2 linked regions of the Oryzias latipes genome follow. The protein of the gene in region 2 interacts with the protein of the main gene of each other region in a biochemical or structural test. Links are inferred from orthologs where the notes say so. Each region holds a gene or a part of one and is shown on either strand. Other genes may lie near its edges. The genes, in order: prmt6 and hmga1.

Region 1 (3,271 bases), on a different chromosome or scaffold from region 2:
ACCATAAAATGCCACTTTATGCCTCACAGTATCCTTGTATCAGTTTTTACATTACTTTTTTATTCTGGAAAATGTTATATAAAATGATCTTATTTAGCAGTTTTTCTCAGAAAACATAAAAGTTCTTAGTTGTCAATTTTTTTGTACTACTTTCTTTTGTTAGCAATATATCTATAAATCTAAGCTCGGCTTTAAAAAAAAAAAGGTAAGAAAGACATTATGAACAACAAATACCTAAGAACAATTAGTAAATTTAGAAGTTTGCTTTTTATTATTAACAAAAACCTAAAATATCTGGTGTGAGAATCCATTTTTGTTTTTTACATGGATGAATGAAATTTATGATTATACCATTTTATATTGTTGCAGTCTATAAAAATAAATATTTAAATATAAAATTGAAAATAAAATAAAAAAACATTGTTCACTAGAGTAAAGAAGCATTTACATTGAAAAAATACACTGAAACAAATGTAACTTAAGAATTTTTATGGTTATTCCTAAACATAAAAAAAGATGTATTAGATTCACAAACAAGAAAAAACACAGCAAACTCAATTTTAGAGTGAATTTAAACTTTTATTTTTAAATACCAATTTAAAAGCAGTAAAACTTGATCAAATAAGTGCAGATGTAGAGACCAGGTGTTTTTTTCCTACTAAAGTGCTATTAATTGATCATCTGAATTATTTATCATAACACTACTTCTGTGTGATGTTTAGGGTCATTTAGTAATTCTAAGTCTAGGCGTCAGAGCTCCAGTCAGGCATGGAGAAAGTCTTGGACTGTCTTTTCTCTTCTCCTATAGCATACTCCAGGTGGATACATATATGTCTGTCGCTTTCCTCTGAGGGATACATGCACACCTCCCCGGAGACCAGCGTGTCCTGCTTCACCTCCGCCGGGGAGTCGAGGTACAGCACCGCCTGCTTCCAGTGGGTCTCGGGTTTGAACGGCGACGTGGAGAGCACGAGCGTCTGCGGTTTGTCCGAACACGGGAAGCTGACCGTGAAGTACACGCAGAAGCCATTGACTGCCGCCGAGCCGAACGAGCCGCAGCTGAACCGGCCCTTCACCGAGCGGAGTTCCTCCGCCGTCACAGAATATAGGTCCAGCTCCGCGAAGCGCGCCGGGTGGGAAAGCACGTCCTCCACGGTCACGGTGTTCACCGTGATGTCAGAGTTCATAATGCACTTCCGGGCAAAGTCGGACATACACGACATATCGACGCCGTACTGCTCTTTGACGGTGTACCAGAAGTGTAGGCGGTCTTCGACCACCGGGTCACAGATGGGCGCGATGTAGAGTTCGGCTCTGCTCGGCAGGATGATGCCGCCGGGCCGAAGCCACCTATCCCGGGCACAGAGCACCGAGTTGAGCATGGACTCGTGAAGCAGAGCGTAACCCATCCACTCACTCACAATCACGTCCACCTTCTCGGGGAGCTCCACGCTTTCCACGGTCCCCCGAATGACCTCAATTCGATCGTCCATGTTGTTTTGTCGGACTATTTTCTCAGCCTGCTCGGATATAGAGCAGGCCTCCACGGCGTAGACTTTCCTGGCTCCCGCCTGGGCACAGAAGATGCTTAACACGCCCGTTCCTGCGCCGACATCCAGCACCACTTTACCCCGAATGCACTCGGTGTTCAAAAGAATCGCCGTCCGATAAGTGTTGGTCCGGACGTGGTCCGCTATCATTTCTTCGTGAATGGTGACATCCGCGTAGCTGTCAAAATAAAGTCTATCCTGGCGGGTTTTATCCAGTTTTCTCTTTTTTCCTGCGTAAGACATCTTTTTCCTCTCCTGCAGCGTGCTACGAGCTGGCGGTGTTTTTGTTTGCTACTTCCGCGTTGGTGAATCTGGGATTTGTAGTGCAGAGGAGAGACTTTGAAGTTAATATTCACGACAAGCTACTACAATACCCACAAACCAACGGGACAATTCTGACATTTGAGAATTTGAGTTTACACATTTTTCTTTCAAAATGTTTGTGGAATGTTGGGATTGACTAAAAAATAGGGATAATAATGGAAAAGGGGGACTTAAAGAAAAAAAAAATCGTAATTTCTCTAAAACTATTTCCAGGTGTCAAAGCCACTCACATTGACAGCACAAACACTAAATTATTTGACAAATATTTGTTTCTTCAGTGTATTGCATACAATTGGGTCACTTTTTTTTAAAATATTCATTTTTATCCTGTTATTTGTATTACTTTAAATTTCCAAGTGGTTAAGTGGGGAATATCACCATCATTTCTTTAAACAGAGTTTAGGAAAGTGTTGTGTTAGGTAATATTACATTGTTTTTTTTTTAATAGATTTATTCTTTTAAACTGAGACATGTTTTTAAATATTTTCTTCCAATTTATTGTTTTTAAATGTTGCTTGAGCCATCTGTTTATAGCACTCTTATTTGTGTGTGTGTGAGTGTGTGTGTGTGGGGGGTATTTAGAGACCAAGTCAGGAAAAATAAAATCACATTGTCTGACTTTAAAAGACTTAATTTGTAACTTGTGGTAAAAAACAAGGCTTTGGTCAGCTACAAACAAGCAAGATTTCTGGTTCTCACAGACCTGTAACCTTTTCTGTAAGAGGATCATCTGTCCTGTAATAATATAATAATGGCACCTGTTTGAACTTCTTATTTATATAAAAGACACCTGTCCACAACCTCAAACAGTCACACTCTAAACTCCACTGTTGCCAAGACCAAAGAGCTGTCTAAGGACACCAGGAACCAAATTGTTGACCTGCACCAGGCTGGGAAGACTGAATCTGCTATGGGTAAGCAGCTTGGTGTCAAGAAATCAACTGCAGGAGCAATTATTTGTAAATGGAAGACTTACAAGACTACTGATAATCTCCCTCCCTCCAAGATTTCACCTTATGGGGTCAAAATGATCACAGGAACGGTGTCCCAGAACCACACTGGGGGACCTGGTGAATGACCTGCAGTGAGCTGGGACCAAAATAACAAGGACTACCATCAGTAACACACTATGCCACCAGTGACTCAAATCCTGCAGTGCCAGTCATGTCCCCCTGCTAAGACAGGACATATACAGGCCCGTCTAAAGTTTGCTAGAGAGCATTTGGATGATCCAAAAGAGGATTGGGAGAATATTCTATGGTCAGACGAAAGAAAAATAGAACCTTCTGGTAAGAACTCTACTCATCGTGTTTGGAGGAGAAAGAATGCAGAGTTGCATCCAAAGAACACCATACCTACTGTAAAGCACGGAGGTGGAAACATAACCATTTGGGGCT
Region 2 (4,263 bases):
CTTTAGAGTCCGCCCAAACCACAAGCAGTGATGGAATGCTACTACGAAACCACACAATGCGAGATTTAATGCTCTTTCAAGACTGGCCCACTGTTTTTAGCACACTGTTGCACTGTTTTAAGGGCAACTCTTACCTCTTTCTTGGGTCTTCCTCTGCGTTTCCCCGCTGAAGATTGAGCTGCCGCTGCCTTCTGTGAACAAAAGGGACACAAGGTCAGACATTCTGCAGTGAAGAGGCTTCGGCCATCTGCATTTTTTTTTATTTGAGAGAGTGACAGTGCCCTAAACTGCCTGTAGATGGCAGTCACACTTTAACAATGACAGGAGGGGAGGGGGCATTGGGTTCATTGGCTATTATCTGGATGGCCTACAGGAACTGCATACGGGGCACTCCAGTTCGCAGGCCACCTGGTCTGAGGCTCAGAGACAGCTGGTGAAATCGAGCGAAGACCCAGAAGCCCTCTCTGCAGAGCAGGCGCTGCTGCTAAAGCGATCGTGCCGCGTGCACGCCTGTCCCAAACTCTGTCTGCCGCTCTCCCTTTTCCCATGCATTAAAAACATGGGCTGAGCACACGGGGGAGCTGGAGGGTTGGGGCGAGGGAGAAAAATCTGATGTTGCTATGGAGACGACAGGCAGAGAGAAGAACTAGGGCTGTGTACTGGTGGGGGGTGGGGGGGCTAAGTGTCAACTTGGAAACAGTATTGCAGCCTCTGCACCTGCACTGCCTGCACTCTGCAGGAAGCTGGAGGACAGGATGACACCCCCCCCCACCACCACCACCACCACCATCACACACACACACACCTCAAAAAGTAAGGCACTAAACCAGTGGGTTTTTACAATGGGGAAACCATAACTATGCCATTAGTGACAAGAGGGGAAGAAGACACTAAATGTCACAAATGACAGCTCAACGTCCTTTAAGAGTATGTGGTCAGCAGCTGCTGCGCTGCTAAACCAAATGGATGCAGGGGGCAATGGATGTGTTGGAAATTCTGCTCCTTCACATTGTATGTCAACTTACTTTGCCCTTGCCGCCGGTCTTGTTTTTGCTGCCCTTTGGTCGTCCTCTGGGCCTCTTTGGAGTCGGGGATCCACTGGGCTCCTGGTGATCAAAGCGACCCAGAGTTAATTCAAGTTTTATTGCAGTGCGTTTTTTTTCTTCTTATTGGGAGACTGGCATCACCAATAATCAACAGGAGGCGAGTAATCGTATTCATGCGTAATTTGTGGTTGGATGGTGTCGTGGCTGACTTGCCTTCTGTTGCATTTGTAGCTTGTTTACAGCTGCTGCTCTTAGCAACCAGGCAACTCAGTAGTAAACCACAGCAGACTGACTGACAGGTCTATGAGCCACTCTGCTTGGACTGGGCTATGTCATCCATTACATGGAGCACATAGGTGGGCGAGAGGATGGGGGGGAGGGGGGTGGGGGGTTAAACCGGTTTAAAGGTGTAGGGTTACAGGTTGCTTTGAAATGGTGGTGGGGGGGTTGCAAGTTGCGGGCCTCTACTTGGATTTTAGGGCATGCATGGAGCACTTCACTCTCCCGGTGCAACACATGCACAATTACAGATCCACAGCATGCACGCCTATACGAAACGAGAAGGGGGTGTAAAATGTGCGTTTACTTACGTCAGTCGTCTTTACCTGGGGCTGCTTACGGGGTCTTCCACGCCCTCTCTTCTCTGCCGCCTCTTTCTCTTTCGGCGAGACGGTTCCCTTGTCGCTCATGCTTACTTTAGCTCTTGGAACCTACGAGGAGAGAGTCCACAGATTTGGCGCTGTTGCAGCAGCAGCAGGAGGAGGACGAGGCGTCGAGTTCACGCACAACACAAAGCGTCTAACCCGCTAAAGCCAATGACCGCATTTAAAACTAACATATTCAAATAAAATCCGACCGTCGCCAAACACACGAACCCGGTTTAACTCAATTAATCCGCGCTTACTTCCAGGTCTATTTCCGTCTCATCCGCGCTCCATTACACAGCACCGTGCTACACAGAACCAGACAACGAAGGCGATCGCATGTTAATGCACAGACTCGAGGGGCGGTGGGAGGAAAAAAGGGGAGGAGGGCGGGGGGACACTACTGAACCCGTTGCACCGTTCCCGAACCAAACATATTAGGGGCCCGTCCTGCCTGGAGCTGTTGTGACCAATGGTCGGGCCTGTGCACGAATCCATCTCACAGCAGGTCTGCACGCAGGGGCCACCGAGAACACAATGGCTGCTATGTGCTCGTTTGCATTTGAAGGCTAAGCATCGGCTACATGCGCGCGACTTTTAGGGTCCCCCCTATAATTAAAAATAAAAATTAAAAAAATCCCTGATATTTTACAAAACATGACGGTAAATTTAAGGCGACTGGAAGGCAGGCCAAAAGACATCTTCACGTTCAAAGAATGCGGCGTCCTGTAAGCTAGCTTAAATGTAGTAATTTGCTTGAAGCTAACCGACTACATTCGGTTCACGCCGGATTAATCAGCGCTTACCTGTTACTAGTCCGCTTTCCCCGTCCTTAATTTTGTTCAGAAATGCCCCTGAAGCCTGGCCGAACCGGTTCAAAAACCTTGCAACGATCTATAGGCTGGAGCTTTTTTTCGTCAGACAACGCACAGCCCGCCCCATTTAAAAAACCCTGCTCACGCGGCCGACAAAAGAAAAAAAACCCGCTTTGAATTGAAGAAAAAAAAAATCAACATTTCATCCAAACAACTGCTTATATGTAAATAAATATAGTTTACCAGCAAAACAAGAAGATTATTCCAACGGTGTCCTGAATGTAGCACGTGCGTCTGGTCTCGTGAAGATAAAGAAAAAAGGCGCGAGCCAGGAGGAGATTTTTGGCCAATTTAAAGAGCCGCCCTCATGGGAGCAGGAACACTGGAGGGCGGAGATATGATAAATGGGGCCACCAACAGTACCACAGAAGCTCAGCCCCCCTCCACCCAACCACTCCTTATGGCGCGGATTCTTTACATTTTCTTGATTCGGTTTGAAAACGCAAAACACATGTTGGAAAGTATCGGAAGGAACTTTTCACATAAAATAAAACTGACGGAAAGTACATTTTCAATGTTCAAATATAATATGTGGTGTTTAGTATTTTGTCCTTTTGCTGAACAGTAGGTCTGCATTCCAGTCTCCACTGTAATGGTGAATGAACTATGACCTCCCCCAATGTAAACACATGCCTCCTTTATACTAGGAGCATTCAGCTCTCCTGCTTATAGTCCCAGAAATTTCATTTCAAACTGTCAAATAAGAACCTAAAACGTACAAACACCCCTCTCAAAAATATCAAATAAATGCACACTAATTGGAGCTGAAGTTAATTTTTTAAACATATATTCAGATGAAGTTGGCTGCAAAAAGGCTGCTGACTCATTAGCTGCTGGTTTGATTCCCTGCTGGAACATTGTGTTCTCTTGTGTTACAGAGGCACATACATCCATTCATCTGTTCTTAGGTGTAAAACTGTCCAGTTACTTTAGTTTAAGCAGCTTTAAACAAAATTAATAAATATAAATTGCTATAATATTTTTGTACTATAATAGTTTGAAAAAAAAAACTATTTACATAGCTTTTTAAGCTTTAATAATACCAAAAGAAATGTGGATTTGTTATAACAAAATCGATTGCCATAAGTGTTTCTTTTGGATTTAACATTTAAAAAATAAATAATTAGAATAATTTCCATAACTTTTACTAACTTACATGTTAGTTTTGGACTTTTGCATGATTTTTAAACACATTTTTTTCTGTCTTATTTTCTGTAGTGAATAAACTTTCTTGTATTGTATGAAAACTTCAAATACAAACAGAGTTTTATGGACTAATGTGAACATTTTATAAAAGCGTGCTATTGTAAGATACAACTTTAAAGAAACACACACACACATAATGTAAAAATGTGTTTAATGTTTAAATCACAAGAACATTGTACCTGGTACTGTGCAAAATCTTTGCAGCTTATACCTTTCGTTTTTTGCTTTGAAATTTACTAGAAAACCCAATGTGAAATATTAACTGCGATTCCTGAAAATTCTTATTTTGGCAAGAAATTCAGGTCAATAAAAATAGAAATGTCGCTCTTCTTTCTGGAATTAATTAACCAACAAACCCAATAAAAGTACCTTGTGCAATATTTGCTGTAATGTAATATGCAACGGAGCTGCAGAGACAGTCTTTTGCAGATTTTGGACACATTTCTTTGAGCTTTAAAATTGATTACAGAAACTTTTTTCTACTTTCTGTTT

Evidence for each region.
Region 1: of the proteins of hmga1 (region 2) and prmt6, one has a biochemical effect on the other in vitro, tested with the Homo sapiens proteins (2 studies listed by BioGRID, with this or other methods). The link is inferred for Oryzias latipes from reciprocal best matches to the Homo sapiens genes HMGA1 and PRMT6.

Annotation. Positions count from the first base shown.
Region 1 is NC_019878.2:11,442,550-11,445,820, reverse strand, and holds prmt6 (protein arginine N-methyltransferase 6), read right to left. Parts: upstream 1,875-3,271; 5' UTR 1,794-1,874; coding exon 744-1,793; 3' UTR 559-743; downstream 1-558. UniProt on the Homo sapiens protein: Arginine methyltransferase that can catalyze the formation of both omega-N monomethylarginine (MMA) and asymmetrical dimethylarginine (aDMA), with a strong preference for the formation of aDMA.
Region 2 is NC_019865.2:19,767,079-19,771,341, forward strand, and holds the start of hmga1 (high mobility group protein HMG-I/HMG-Y), read right to left. Parts: upstream 2,892-4,263; 5' UTR 2,749-2,891; intron 2,680-2,748; exon of another isoform or gene 2,497-2,679; intron 2,036-2,496; exon of another isoform or gene 1,951-2,035; intron 1,757-1,950; 5' UTR 1,736-1,756; coding exon 1,637-1,735; intron 1,107-1,636; coding exon 1,026-1,106; intron 192-1,025; coding exon 135-191; intron 1-134. UniProt on the Homo sapiens protein: HMG-I/Y bind preferentially to the minor groove of A+T rich regions in double-stranded DNA. It is suggested that these proteins could function in nucleosome phasing and in the 3'-end processing of mRNA transcripts.